3 linked regions of the Drosophila melanogaster genome follow. The protein of the gene in region 3 purifies or fractionates together with the protein of the main gene of each other region. This does not show direct contact. Each region holds a gene or a part of one and is shown on either strand. Other genes may lie near its edges.

Region 1 (4,953 bases), on a different chromosome or scaffold from region 3:
AAGCATCTGGAGACGCCTGAAAGTCTCGCCTGAGAGCCTCGCTCATTGTCAACGCGCGTCTCGAGTGTGTCTTGGCAAGGTTCCAGTCCAGGCCGGGTTTTCGTCTCCAGAAGCGTTCTCTCAAGGCATAAACCTCTGAAATGGTATAGCCGAATGGCCATTGTCTGGAGAAAGACGAGATGATGAGGCTGCAGCTTGAATTCAGCTCTGTTTGCCCTCGTTTATCGTGTTTCCATGGGGTTGCCAAATCACAAACGAGGCGAATCTGGCCATTCAACTGACCTTGAAAACCAACCCAGACATGTGTTCGCTTATGAGTCCGTTACTGATTATAAACAATGCAACATTTGAACAAGGGGTACCAAGCGGAGTGTGGTGTGTCGCCAAAAACAGGCTCAAATCAGTGAGCTGCTAAATTTCGCACACTTCAAAAACTTGTTTATCATAAATTACGGCCATTGTTATTGAGATACCCGCTAATCGGGCACATTTGTATATGTATATCAGGGGAAACACATTGAAAATGCAATGTGTTATTATCTTTTGGGATAGGGGGCAGGCCAGCCAAAGTGGTAAGAAGTGCTAAAGCTGAAAAGTGCTGATAACTCCTATCGCCAATTGGTGTGTGGGAAAGCGAAATGTGTCACACGATTTGTTCGACGAGTGGAAAGTACAAGAACGGTGGCTTGCTTGCTTCTAGCGGCTCTTGCACCGGAAACTGCACTAATTGATGCTTAATTAGCGATTTCCTCAGCTCACTCTCCATTACGACATCCCCCACTTCAAGTCGCCAAGTTGTCGCATTATGGAGTAACGGCTAACATGTCCGCTGCTCCATCAACCGGGGCGCTTATGAATATGGTAAACGCCATTTAAGCAGGCCGGAAAAATGGTAGCATATACCAATTATTAATTCAAGGAAATGGGAATCGATTGAGCACATTGATACTATTTACTTGACAAATGTATATACTTTTCTAAGTAAACTTAAAACGCAATTGCTTGCCTAAATCCATGCAAACATTAAGTATTACCAAACTTTTTAAGCAAAAAGTTTGGTTTTTGCTACATTTCCCTTTGTATCTTTAATGCAAAAACGTCATGCTGACCTCCATTTTGCAGCATAACTTTTTGCAGTGTGTCAAGTTGTGACTGTTTGACTGACTGAGTGACGGACTGACATTAAATTGCACTCTTCCTGATTGCTTCGTCGCTTCAAAATCGATTATCGCCGAAGTCATGCAACTGAAATTATATTCACCGCTTGCCACATCCATATATGTATGTACATATGTACATACGTATATACGCTTTTACATACAAAGTTAACGCTGCATAATGAAGCGGACTACGTGGCTAGGATACAAAATCCGGAAGCCCCTCAGTCCGGCGGTCCTGACCTTTTTAATTTCAGCTAAAAACCAAAGCCGCACGACGCCAACACACCTCTGACCCACCACAACCACCCTCTCGCCCACACGACGATGTGGCTTCAACATAAGACGCAGCTCATATTCGATAACCACTTTCTACCCGCCAATGAGTTACAGTGGAGATTGGGTAAGCTTAACTTTTATCCTGATACAAAAAACAAAATATTTGCTTAAATTTGGCTTGTTACATAAGCAAAACTTTCATTTTCTTCGTAAAGAAAATTAATTGTACTTAAATGCTATGGAAAAACTATAAAATTTTACACGTAAGAGCCATTTGCCTTTCCCCCATATCCCACATCCATTATAAAAAAATATAAAAAGGACATTAAGATTTGTTAATCGATTTCAATTTAAAACTGACATTAACAAACAAAAAAACGATGTATCAGTTGGTATTAGTAAACTTTCTAAGACCAAGTGAAGGCAATTTCTAATCAGTTTGTGCTCAAAGCGATATTCTCTGCAATTTAACTTAGAACTCGCAGAATGTTCTACTTAGTGGCGTTCCACTGTAGCTACTCACCCACGGAGCTGGAGTTGAAGGAGGAAAACTGTGCCAGCGGTTGAGGAGGTTGAGGCTGCTGCTGGAGTTTCGTTCGTTGATTCGCTCGTTTGCTGTTTTGTTTGTTTGTTTGTCGGATTGTTGCTGTCTTTGTCGCTCAGTTGTTGTTCCTTTGGTGGGCGACGATGGAAATGTCAGAGGGTCGCGGTATTGGTATTACGGCCTCCCAGGGCATTCTCTTTTCGCTTGAGTTTTGATTTTTTTTTTTGCTTTGCCTGATAATTCTATTATTGCTCTCGCTCTCTTGGGGGGGAGTGCAAAATAATGGATGGCAATTCGCGGACGGAAATTTGCGAATTTAGCGCGTCGCTTCAATTTTGTGCAAATTGAATGCACAAACACTGAGAAGTGGAGAGAAATTACTAACTTCGGCGTTCTCCCTGTCTCCCACACACACACATACACGTGCACGCGCGAAATTTCGTGACAGCTGCAGCTGGAGAAGAAGAAGAGCATGAATGATCGCTCAAGGACTCGGTATCGTCCTGCCGTTTCCTCTCTCTCTTTCTCTCTCTGGTTCACTTCCTTTTGTTGTTCCGTTTACCTAACACAACGGCTTATTTGTATTGTCAGGACCAACTCACACACACGCACATACACGTACACTAGCGCACTGCAGCTGAGCCCAAAGGAAAAATCGATGATGAATCTGCGAATTAAAAGTCTATAGCCGCACATCGATTAATCTGCAGCTGAAGCGAGTCGCTTTAATTTAGTTTTTCAGCCTTGTTTTTGCTGCTTACGAGGAAAAAGACAGCAAGGCTTCGTTGAAAAACCCGTTCGGCGCGCAGGAAAGTCGGAAAAACGAAAATCGTATAGCGGCTTGGTAACAAAACGCGCCCACTCGCGGAAAACAACAAGTTTAAATATTAATTAAATCGATTTATATTTACTAAATCATAATATACATCGCTATTACTTCATGTAGGCGAGCAGAAGCACACTCCACGTCGAATTTATTGTTCGTTTGCTTAAAAAATCAGTTTCAATTGCCGCAACTCCGTTGGCATTAAAGTTATAACGATGTTTCTTTAATAATATTTTTTAATGGTAACCGAAAAAACAGCGCGCGCTGCTGCGCTCTCCCGAAAAATTACAGAGAGAATGCGTTGCGAGCTGCTTATATAGATTTTTAAAATATCAGAGAAACCAAATGATGGTAATGTAAAAATACCAAAGCCGGGAAATCGCGTTTTAACAGTCTGTTAACAGTCTGGCGTATCACACTGTTAATTCTCTTCAGCGGTTAAATGTATCTATTGGATGCGCCAAATATATCTTATCCATATTAACAGCTATTTTGATTAAGAAAACTTAGACTCGTTTAGTTTTATTTAAAATTTTTTAATAGTTTTGAATTATTATACCTTTTGTCGATTTTTAAATATAAGTAAACGTAAGGAATGATTTTAACCGCTTGTGGTTAAGACTGCATATTTTGGCGGGCACAATTCAAAAGCAATCATGAAAATACCACAATAAAAATACTAGTCTCAAGCGGTAATGTCTTATACGTAGTCTTATACCTTAAAATTAAATAGCAGTTCTGTAAAATATTTAACCGTTTAGTATTTCTAAAATAATGTGCTAAACCTGATTTATGCAATTATTAAGATCCCAAAACATTTTCAAAAAATTGTGTAAATTTCTTAATACTTTATATTCTTAAAATTTTCGATGATTTAAAACGATAAAATAATTGTTTTAAAATTACACACTTGGACGAAATTCAAAATTAAAATTATATCAAAATAATGTCATATTTCACAAAATCGTAAAAAATAATAAAAGGTATGCTTATAAAAATACGCAGAATATTTATAATGCATATAATATGCAGAAATACAAAAGTAAGAAGAATTTCGCAAAAATATGAAATATGTTTGAGGTTACGTTCGGCAATGAAATTATGTAACATTAAAAACACGTGATCAATGGAAGTAATTTCCCAAAAACCCATGAATGCGATTTGGTTAAAAATAGCTCAGATGACGTCACATTTATCGTGTGGTTTGTATGAGTATGTGACTGATAAAGAAAGGCAAATGTTTACAGTCCGAAAGTCGCGATTAGCTTGGCGCCAAAGTTGCCTATAAAAGCTCATCGACCGAATGCCGCAGAAGCCAGTCAAATTCAAGTGTTCAAGTGAAGCAGTCGAAACATAAGCAACAGATTCCGCAGCAGTTATATCCAGTTCAGAGAAACAGTAGTTAATCAGTAATTAAAGTGTTGAGTGAATTTCTTATCGGGTCAGTTGTAAACTAGTGCAAAAATGTCGCAATCCGATAACGTGGCACGTGAGCAAACTGCGGCAAATGCAGGGCCGGATGCATGTCAAGGATGCCGCGGCCAATTGCCAAATGCCACGCCCGTGGAAGTCGAGGACATGGCCTTGCCGTCGATGGAGCGTCTCATTCGAAAGGCCAACATGGCCCAGAAAATGCTGAACGATGTGATGAAACAGATCCAGAAGCAGCAGCAGCAGGAATCTCAACTCTCCATCAAGGAGACCAAGTCCAAGCACCGCAGCTCCGATGGAGGTAAACGACGACACAGAGGACGCAAACATCATAGTCATAGTCATCACACTAGCTCATCTTCCAGTTCCAGTTCCGACCACAGTGACTGCGAGCTGATCCTGGCGGAGAAGGAGGGGCACATGCCGCGGAGAAGACACACGCGAGATGACCGCAAGCGGGATCGTTCCCGGTCTCGCGGTCGCTCCCGTGGTCACTCGCGTGGTCGTTCTCATGGGCGTTCTCGTTCCAGGTCCTACACCGATTCCCGACGATCTCGAGCACTACCCCTGGCTCTGCCCGTTCGGATTTCAGTGTGAGTATCTGGCTTCATTCAGTATTATTCAATATTCATTTTATATATTAAGTGCGCATAAAAAAACCAAAAAAAAAAAAATAATAAAATATATAAAATATGAAAAAAATATTCAAATGAATT
Region 2 (5,279 bases), 4.3 Mb from region 3:
AGTAACCATCGGGGATAAGGCGGTGCCAAGGGACACGTGTGCGTAATCAGCGTCGCAAGAATCCATCGGATTGCATGGCAGCCCACACCCCTTCCTTCTCATTCTTCAACGAGGAGTTTCAGCATGAGAAAATTCCACCACATCGAAATCAAAAACGAGTTGCACGGGGTTGGTATGAAAAACGTAAACAATTTCCTGATTCTTTAGGTACAGGCTTTTTTAAATGCATATACAAGATATAACGTATTTTAAGAACGAAGTTCAAGGTGATGATACTGTACACTTCTACATTTTAGATCAGAATACCTTTTATTTCTTTTTTTTTTTTACAGATAATTTGACCTTATATGAATAAATTGGCTAATAAATGGAAAAAATAATTGATGCATTCTCATTATTTTCGTTACATTCAAAGATGAGTCTATTTAATTTAAATAGCTTTAAAGAAGGTCTCACTTTCCAAGACACCTTTTTCAGATTTTTTATTTGATTTCTCATGCCTTAAAATGCATTGCATCAAAATGATATTTTTTATGAGATTAGGTAAGTCCCATATTTCCAGAACACAAACGCGAAAGATAGAAAACAATCAGATTTGGAATTTAGTCGGAGAGTGCTCGAAAGAGATTTCAGAAACACCTCTGGCTGTGTTGTGTGCAACGTGTATTGATTATATTTCGAATCGGATCTTAGCTAAGGTATATAATTTATAATAGTACGATAGAGTAGTTGTTACAAAGGAATAGCCTAGATGTTGCGCGCCTTGAGCACCTGCTTCTGTGGCGGACTGGGCACGTTCTCCTTGCCGGCGAACAGGACAGTCTTCTTGGGAGTGCTGGCCGCCGATCGTGGTGTTCGTGGGGTGTGGGGGGTGCGCGGACTGCGCGGGGTGTGCGGCGCCTTGGGTGTGCGGGGGGCGGGACGGGGCGAGGACTTGCCGGCGGACAGGAGCTCGTTGATCTCGCTGGTGGTATCCTGGCGCACGCACTTGTCCGAGGAGTTGAGCAGCCACGTGGTGATCTTCTCGCAGTCGGATCGCAGCTCCGAGTCGCACAGCAGATCCTCGATCTTCTCCAGATCGGTGGTATTGGAGCGGTTGGCCTTGCCAGGTGTTCCCAGCAGAGAGGCGGATCCCGGTTGCTTGGACTTGAGGGCAATGTTCTCCAGCTTGAGCTGTTCGCACTCCTCGCGCACCTTAACAAGCATCTGCTCCTTGTTGTCCAGCTCCAATTGGGCGAACTGCAGCACGGTGGCGAATTCATCGAGCGCCTTCTTCATGTCCACCATGTAGGCCTCGCGCGTCTCGTCCTTGCGGCGCAGCTCGTGGTAGTGGGCCAACTGGGCGTCGCCATCGATGCGCTCCTGGAACGAGTTTGCAATCTGATTGAATTTAGCCAACGTCTCCGCCTCGCCGGCTAGCAGCTCGTGGAGCAAGGACTCCTTCAACGATACCTCGCTCTGCAGCGTCTGGGAGGAGGATCTCAGTGCGTTGAGCGCATCCTGGCTCTCGGTCAATTGCTGGCGCAGTTGCTCTGCGTCCGCCTGCAACACCAGATAGCTCTGCTCCAGCGCTCCCTTGGCCAACTGCACCGATTCCAGCTCCGCTCGGTACTGCTCCACATCCGCATCGGACTTCTTTAGACGCTCCATCAGAATGTTGACGGTGGCCCGGGTGTTGGTCAAAGTCAGCTGGTAGTTGTACTTCTCGGTGATCGTCTTGGCCATGTCCTGCTTCAGCTGCACCAGCTGCTGCTGCAGTGCGTCGCTCAGCTGGATGTAGTAGTCGATGCCGTTGCGCAACTGCTCTTCGCATTTCTGCAGCTTCTCGTCGCGCATGCGCAGCATATCATTGGTGGTCTCCAGCAGCACCATCACGTCCTGCTTCTCCAGCTCGATCTTGATCAGCTCGTTCTCGGCCAGCTTCTGGCGCTTGTCCAGCTCGGCGCGCCAGTAGCTCTTCTCGCGCTCCACCGCGCTCTCTAGGTCGCTCTCAACCTGCTGCTGCACCTTGGCCACCGCCTGCTGCTGCTCGGTGTGGCGAGCCTGTTCCCGGCACAGCTGGCGAATGGTATCGCAGTGAGCATCGATCTCGCAGTTCTTGTCGAGAAGCTCGTCTTGCAGCGAGCGGATCAGAGTGCACTTGTTGGCCAAGTCATTCTTCAGGGTGTTGCGCTCCACCTTCAGACACTCCAGTTCCGCCTGGCAGCTCTTGGCCTCCTGTCCGTAGGACAGGGCATCCTGTTCGATCTGCTGCTTCAGCTGGACCACGTCGGCCAGCAGGGAGGCATTGGTCTTCTGGAGATTCTCTACCAGCTCAATGTTCTCGGCGGTCTTTGCCTGCTCCAGGCTGCAGTGCTCGCGGGCCTGAGCCACATCCGCCTGAAGAGCAGAGAGTTGTGCCTGCAGCTGCTCCTCCACCTTTTGACGATCCTCATTCGCTGTCTGCAGCAGCTCGTTGGCCAGACGCAGTGCCTCGCTCTCGGCAACCAACGCCTCCACTTGCCTTTCATGCTCGTCGTGCTGTTGCTGCAACTGCTGCTCCATGGCGGCCAAACGCTCCAAAAGATCAGCGTGCTCCTGGCCCATCTGCTCGTTCAGAGCTTTGTGCGATAAATTCTCACTGGTCAGGGCTTCGATGAGCCGATCTGTCTTGGAGGTAGCCAACTCATGCTCCTCGCGCAACTTGGCCTCGGCTTCCTTCAACTGATCCACATGGCGGCGCAGCACGTCCAGTTGGCTCAACTGGCTCTCGATCAGTTCGTTTTTGTGACGGATTTCGTACTGGAGTGCCTCCTTGCCCTTCAGACGGCTGGCTGACTTGGCCTCCTTTACGGGCGTGGTGGCTGCCGAATGCAGAGGAGTGGATGCCGCTGTTGAGGCGCCACTTCCGCTTCCGGTGGCCGTATCCGTGTGACTGGGAGTCGGACGGAAGCGTAGGCGCTGCGGCAACGAAGGAGTACGGAACAGACGTAATCCCTTTGACTTTTTGTCCTCCTTGGGAATGGCAAATTCCTTGGCCTCCTTCGAGCTGGACGCGAAACGCACGGCGTCCTTGAAGAACTTCTCGATCTGCTCCTTGCGTTCCGGTTGAACGGTTGGCGGAGCAGCGGCTGCCGAAGACGCGGTGGGCGTGGCACTGCCCGCCGATCCCGCCGAGCTGTTGGACGCAGCTGGCGAACCGCAGATGGCCACATCCACGTCGTTGAAACGCTTCAACTTGGCCTTGGAGAAAGACATTTTCGAATTTGTTTTTTGGACTTTCGGTTTAACTTGGTAACGATTCTTTTCGGATTTTGTATCAATGTCTCATTAACAACGCTCGTTTAACTTTCGATATAACAATAACTCAACGATCAAACATAAACACAACTTTAACTTTCGGTTTAATTTGGTTATCTTTTCCTTAGGATTTTTAGGTAAACTGTTTAACAATATGGTAGTAGTCTGTAGTCGTATTTAATTCATCTGTACTTTGTGGTCCGTTCTGTGCTACACTAAACCCGCTATCCCGTTGCTACCCGTTTCACTGTACCTACGCGTTCCGCTGTCAAAACCTAACTGAGCTCACCTTCTGTCCAAGATCCCTGAGGCAGACATAGCCTCCAGCTGGCACAGCGAGTGGAAAAGGGATGGATAGAGTGTGGAAACGAGATAGACCCAGGGGAGGCAAAGAAAACAACCCTCGCTCGAGCAGGGGTCGCTTCAACGATCCTGCATTGCTTCACCTATGTGGGATATACCCAACATTTCAGGTTGGGTATTTCCGAGATCTTCAAACGAAAAATGGTTTATGGTTTTCATTTCGTAGGACTTTCATTTTAATCTAATAACATTAACATTGAATATAATAATTAGTGGACATAGAAAATAATATCACGACAATTTTGGATTTTTTAGATATTAGCTGAACAAAAATTTCATATTCCTTAAACATTCTAATGTTAATTTAATATTAGACAAGTCATTTGCAGACGGCATAATTCTTCTGATCTTAACCACTTTTCAATTTAAATTAAACATATAATATTATATATTTTCTATAATGTCCTCTTTTAAGAGTATCTAGAATTCAGGTAAGCCGAGTTATACGACTCCTAATTTTTTTTTTATTTGGTGGTAGTTCGTGCCACAGTTCTTGATCCCCTGTTCGTCTTATCTGTGTGTTTGTCAAGACGTCGGCCTCGTGTATATAAAGGAAATGTTTTCATTTTAGCGCGCGCAAATGTTGCAATTGTAGTTCAAGACAGCACGAGGAGGGTTCGAGACCGGAGTGGGGGTAGCAAGATGGGTAGGGGTGGAGATAGGACGACGGGGTTCCGCATTCCCCGGCTTAAGTACATATGGGAAATGTGCCGTTGCCGACGAACAGAGACACACTCACTCACATCTGCCTGGGCTTCTCCTTTCCTTCGAGGACTACAAGTAAATGCGATTGCTTTCGAGAATTGCGAGACTACGAGTACAAGGATATGAGCTGATGGCTGGATGGACTGCCTCATCCGTTAGCTCCAACACAGCTGGCAGCCAGCATAATTCGTTAATTTGATACGAAATCCGATGCCCGCATAATTAAAGGAAAATGCGTCGGAAATGGGCGAGTTGCGCCTGCGCAATGAGTTGAATGGAATTGAGGCTAAATGAATTGCATGGAAAATGGAAATGCGTCGGGAAAATTGATTTTTCATGTGATATCGCTAGGCAGTTGGGCAATCGGCCATCTATAATCTGTATAGAGAACCCCCTCATGATATCCTGCTGATCCTGCGGTAGCTGCCTGTGCATCCTGTCATTTTTTCACTTCTTTTCTCCAGTGAGTTTGTCACAACTGCCAACTGAAATCAGCTGGTTGTTCCTTTGATGGCAAACAATGACCGGAAGATTCTAGCAACTGGGAGGTGATAATTCTAGGTTAAAGCAGACAAGCATGAAATTCTGGGTGGGTCAGCCACACACAGCTGTGCAAAAGAATTATAATGTAGAAAGACAATGTAGGGAGCCATAGGACAAGGGAAATCGTTTGGAAATCAATAGAATATTAATACTCAAGCATTACTTTTTAATTTATATTTATGCTTCACAACCTTTGTCAATTTATATAGTTCATGTACATAATATGTATGTATATAAGGTTACGAAACCATCCTTTGGTTTCATAGAGGTAATATTTTCCCATAAACATATTTGCATTTGATTTTCCCAAACTCTCTTATAATAAAAATGGAAATTTTACGAAAAAGGGTTTTCATTATTCGCTGATCCAATGATGTGCAGGACTCACA
Region 3 (4,812 bases):
AGATCCGAATCCCATTTCCATTCCCATTGCCATTGCCATTAACCAAGTCATTTTACAGACGTTGATGGATTTGTGTGACGACCCTATAACTCATTTTCCACGACACATGTTCACAGATTTTCCATATGGTGTGGACCTGCAAGTCGTTACTTTGCACTTGGCGGATATGTGAGCATGGGGGAAAAAAGCATGGATCACTTCGTTTATTTTGGGTCACATTGGGGGCTTTGTGTTAGCCAGCCTTTGTTTTTTTGGGCGGCCTGTGTGTGGTGTTCCCAAATATGTGTTATCGTTTCACACTTAATCTTATCTCAGTTCCCCAGCACAATTACCCGTTTGACGCTAGGCAGAAAAATAAATAGCAGGTAAATATAATTCAGTTTCGTTGTAATGAGAATAATATAACCAAATTTATTGGCCACACAACTAGCAAATTGCAGAAAGTCGAGCCTCTTTCCCATCGAAAACTATAGCTATGCAAATCTATTTTCAGTCCCTTTGTTTTAAATGATTGTTTAACGATTGAAAAGTTATAAATAGACTGACAGTCATTAATCAAACGAAAGTAAAATTTTTTGACAAAAAAGTTGCAGATTATGGGATTATGGATTATGAATTTAAATGTTACTGTAACTATAAAAATGGTCGTATCATTATCATCATACATGATTCACATTAGTTAAGTGGTTGAAGTTTAAGCTTGAAATAATTTATTTATTTAGTGTTTAAAAATGAGTGCTATCTTATCATATTTACAACTGTATTCCGAATATATAGTTTGAATCACCGTTGATATATTTTTGAACAGGAAACTGAAACGGAACTTTCATTGCATATATTGATCCAATATTTTATAAGCACGTGTTGCGTTGGACAAACCAAAAAAAACTAATGTACATGAATAAAACAAGAGGGGCATGTACATAAAAAATCCATCAACGATGCCACGATAGAAGCAAAATACAACTGGAATTATGCTAATCGACTATCAAAACAAAAGCTGCAATTAAACCACACACTCTGGCTGACTTTCACTGCGAATCTTTGAACAATCGTCGGCCGTTTCAGTGTTTCTCTTTTTGTATTATATGCAAATTGGTCTAACGCATCTCGAGCCCAACTGCTGGCCACTCCAAAAAGATTGGTTTGCCTCCATTCGAGAAACTTTGGGCTACATATCTGTATAACCCGTCGAAGGTTCCATATAATTCATATAGGCAGCTGTCGGCGCTGACAATGGACGGCAATGGAGATCAGGATTGTGATCCTGCGATCCTGTCAGCTGTGTGGCGCGTGTTGGGAATTGCTTGCCACCCGGCGAGGGGGAGGTCACGTCGGTTTGAAAGGGGGTTGAACGGGGCTTGAGTGACAGCCAGCACAGGGACAACAACAGGACTTCCTCCAGTGCACCGCAAAGGATCTCGAATTATATGGAATTATATGCGCGACACCCTTGTGCGAATATTAGGTGAAATGATACAGTGATACCTCAATAAATCCATCAAATATTTATTATAAAGTAAAATGTCTTGGTTAAAGGGAAATGCAAATAGGTAAGTTAGTTTTAGCACCCATATAAACATTCTTGTTTGTTTCTAGCCACCGATTCCCGTGAACAAGGACAACATTCCTCACCCCCCCAGAGAAATATAGATACCCTGGCCACATGAAAGGGTATCGACGAACCCGTTTAATTGGCTTTAAAGTGTTCAGAATAGGTTGGGCACGTCTGCAAACATGGACACGCATGCGCAGGAGCGGCGTCCACATCCCTGCTCCTCCAGCTCCTACTCTGCCCCTATTTTCCACATAAATAAACGAAATGTGCCTCGAATGGGAAATCAGACGGCCAGTCAGTCGATCGGGGAGAACGACACTTGTGTCCCTGGTTGACAGGGAAGGGAGGGGGGTGTGGCTCCAAGAAATGTTTGCTCATTTCCGCACTCAATTAAAATGGTCGGGACACAAAACTATCTTTGAGTTTGCTTTAAAAACACAACAACAACAACTGTGAACTGACGACGTTGACATGGGCCCCTGTCTATAAATAGAATTATGTACATACACACACATATGGACACATGGAATAGGGTGCATGGTTGTGGGTGCGGGATGTGGATGAGGATGCGTGGTAGGAGGACAGCTGTGGGAATTGCAGGAATGGTGGTGACATTTGCTGTTGCGACTGCGCACTCCTTTTGTTCGATTTACGGTCACGTTTTCTGTTTGAACCTCCTGTTCTATAGAGAACTAATAATATTGGAGGGCAAACAAAACAAATATGAGTCATGGTTAGAATAAGTTTACCAAAGCCAGAAAAGAGCTAAATTCTATGTAACTACTTGGTATAGAAATTAATAAAATGTAATGATTAATTGTACTTTGGTTTAGTTTATGTGCAAAAAACGATTCCCAGTTGAAAGTACTCATATGTAGGGTGCAGTCACTTCCGCGATTGCTAATCGATTTCTTGTTTGCAACACTGGCATATTGTACATAGGTAACCAATTTTCGTGGACAAGAATGTGCCAATGTCAGGCGGAAAGGCGAAAAGCGCAAGTCAACAGAAAGCAAAAGGCAGCAAATCCGCCTTCACAGGTGACCACCACTCGCTGTCAGGCGGTTATCCCCTTACCCCTATTCCTCCAGAGAGATATTGGCCACTTACCTTAAGACGGCTGGAAATCTGTACGTGCGTAAGTTACTGGCAAATGGGGATTATGTTTCCGGGGACGCACACGAACACATTGATGAAGGCGCAATCCACTTGGAATCGATCTCCTGCGTGGATTTTGTTTGGTTCGAATTTAGAACTTGCAATTTATAGCCACGATACACTATTTCCAAAAGTTTGTAACACTTGAAGTATTTTCAGCTGGGTGTTGTGTTTGTTTGCCTCGGTTTTAACAGTTTAGATTTAAGATTCAAGCGGCGATCGGAAGGCGACCAGCACGAGCGTCTCGAATCGCGTACCGTCGCGTTGGAGAGTCGAGTCGAACTGAAATCAAATCCACAACAATCCACTTTTGGATTTTCGACTTCGAAAAGCAACGGCACCGAAACAACAACAAGCACGCGCAAAACAGCTGACCGCTAGAGGTGCCACCACCGCTGCCGATAGTTAGGGCGCAAAATCTGCCCTGCAGTGTGACCAGAGATTAGTTTTGGCGCTAATTTTAAATATGCGTTACTTTTCAAATCCATAATGGTTAGATGGGTTTTTAAGATACTCATTTTCGTAGATGCAGTAGTTTTTACTTATCCTATTTGTGTAGCCAGTTCTAAACTTAAAGCTTGGAATATGGTAATTTAAGATGCACCGCATATCAGTATATATAAACAGTATACTCTTCAAAAAGATTCACCGCTGATCGTGCTGTTTTTAAGTTTAATTATGAAAGATGCAAACGAAAATGGCCAAGTTTGAATGGAATGGGTTAAGAATGCGGTGTTATCGAGTGGTTCACTCTTCTGCAACACCTGCATCACGACTGGTCCACAGTCGCAGTGGTTTATCCGTCAGAATGTTGGATAGTGTTGTACTCAGTTCTCAGTACTATACTATAATTATTTCAGCAAAGCAAGAAGATTTGGCAACTTTTCAAAATATAGATTTCGATGGCTGCACAACGGTGCGTTCTCATATTCTTGTTCCCTATATATTTTAAGTTTAGTGACGTGGAGCAGGACAATTGGTTCCCACATACCGCCCGTACTCTTTGTAAAAGTTCCAAGAGGGGTTGTTTAATGAATAAAAAGTGAGGTGACTAATTATTTTCCTGTCCTTAACTTTACCAGCTACCACCACCACCTGGATGCATTCTGGGGATCAAATATTCCGCCAGCCTTTGTTGCAAATATTTAGATAAATAACACTAGCGAATGAACGAGAAACGAGTGTGAAATAGGAGCCATTGTATCGTACGATTTTCCGTCTTTGATTTTTCGCTCTCATAATGGGTCAGCGCCCCGCTTATTAATTGAGCTCAATCAGGAGCGTCTTTATTAATTGTCGCAGGGGTATATTGTGTTTTACTAACTATAGTAAGTTATAAGTTATAAGTAAGTATGGTTGAACCCTTCTAACTTTGTAATACTAGATTTCAAAGTTGAAGTTACTTGGTGTACTTGCTTAACTATAAGATATAATTTTCTAATGAAACTAAGTTCTTTTAGCTGATGAAAACTGGTATCTCAACGAACAAGAATGGGTATCTCTTAGTCGCTAGACTCAACTGCGACCATTTCTTTGTATTTTTGCAATACCCGCTTAATTGTCTGTCTGTCGCAGCGCAGCTCAATTGGAAGTGAAAGAGAGCGCGTAGGTCTGAGTGATCGTGATCGCCTGATTGACAAACGACTGCCATCGGATGAGGCATTCGAGTTTCCACTTACCTGGCTTACCTGGCTGCAAGCGGCTGTGCAAATGGAAATTGGTAGAGGCTTTCCCCGTAAGTGGCCGGGGATCGGTGTAATTTGCTACCAAAAACGACTAGGGGTGGCTCCGTACCATGTTAGTCATATCTCCACCTTCTCCTCGTCCGCCTGAAGTGGTTGTATCTGGGTATTGCTATCTTGGTATTAGAGACCCGCTCTCCCGATTCCATATCGATTCCACTGAGAGTGCGCATGCAGCCGGCGTTTGTTTGCCGTTCTTCTTTTCGCATATAACATAAACAGTCGGATATATCCGAGCACCAGAGAGGGTCGGATATATAGCCGCCTTTGCTGTTGTCCCTGTCGGTTGGCATGAGCTATTGTTTTTGGCTTCGGTTTGGTCTTGGTTTGGTTTGGATAGTCAGTTCGGTTTCG

Evidence for each region.
Region 1: the proteins of jar (region 3) and corn purify together in Drosophila melanogaster (affinity purification with western blotting; one study listed by BioGRID). This does not show direct contact.
Region 2: the proteins of jar (region 3) and mira purify together in Drosophila melanogaster (affinity purification with western blotting; 2 studies listed by BioGRID, with this or other methods). This does not show direct contact.

What each region holds. Positions count from the first base shown.
Region 1 is NT_037436.4:7,153,977-7,158,929, forward strand, and holds the start of corn (cornetto), read right to left. Parts: upstream 3,098-4,953; 5' UTR 1,960-3,097; intron 1-1,959. Other genes in the region: CG8620 (uncharacterized protein), read left to right, coding at 4,271-4,834.
Region 2 is NT_033777.3:19,931,437-19,936,715, forward strand, and holds mira (miranda), read right to left. Parts: upstream 3,563-5,279; 5' UTR 3,238-3,562; coding exon 748-3,237; 3' UTR 598-747; downstream 1-597.
Region 3 is NT_033777.3:24,268,231-24,273,042, forward strand, and holds the start of jar (jaguar), read right to left. Parts: upstream 3,004-4,812; 5' UTR 2,669-3,003; intron 1-2,668. UniProt on the Drosophila melanogaster protein: Myosin is a protein that binds to actin and has ATPase activity that is activated by actin. Together CLIP-190 and jar may coordinate the interaction between the actin and microtubule cytoskeleton.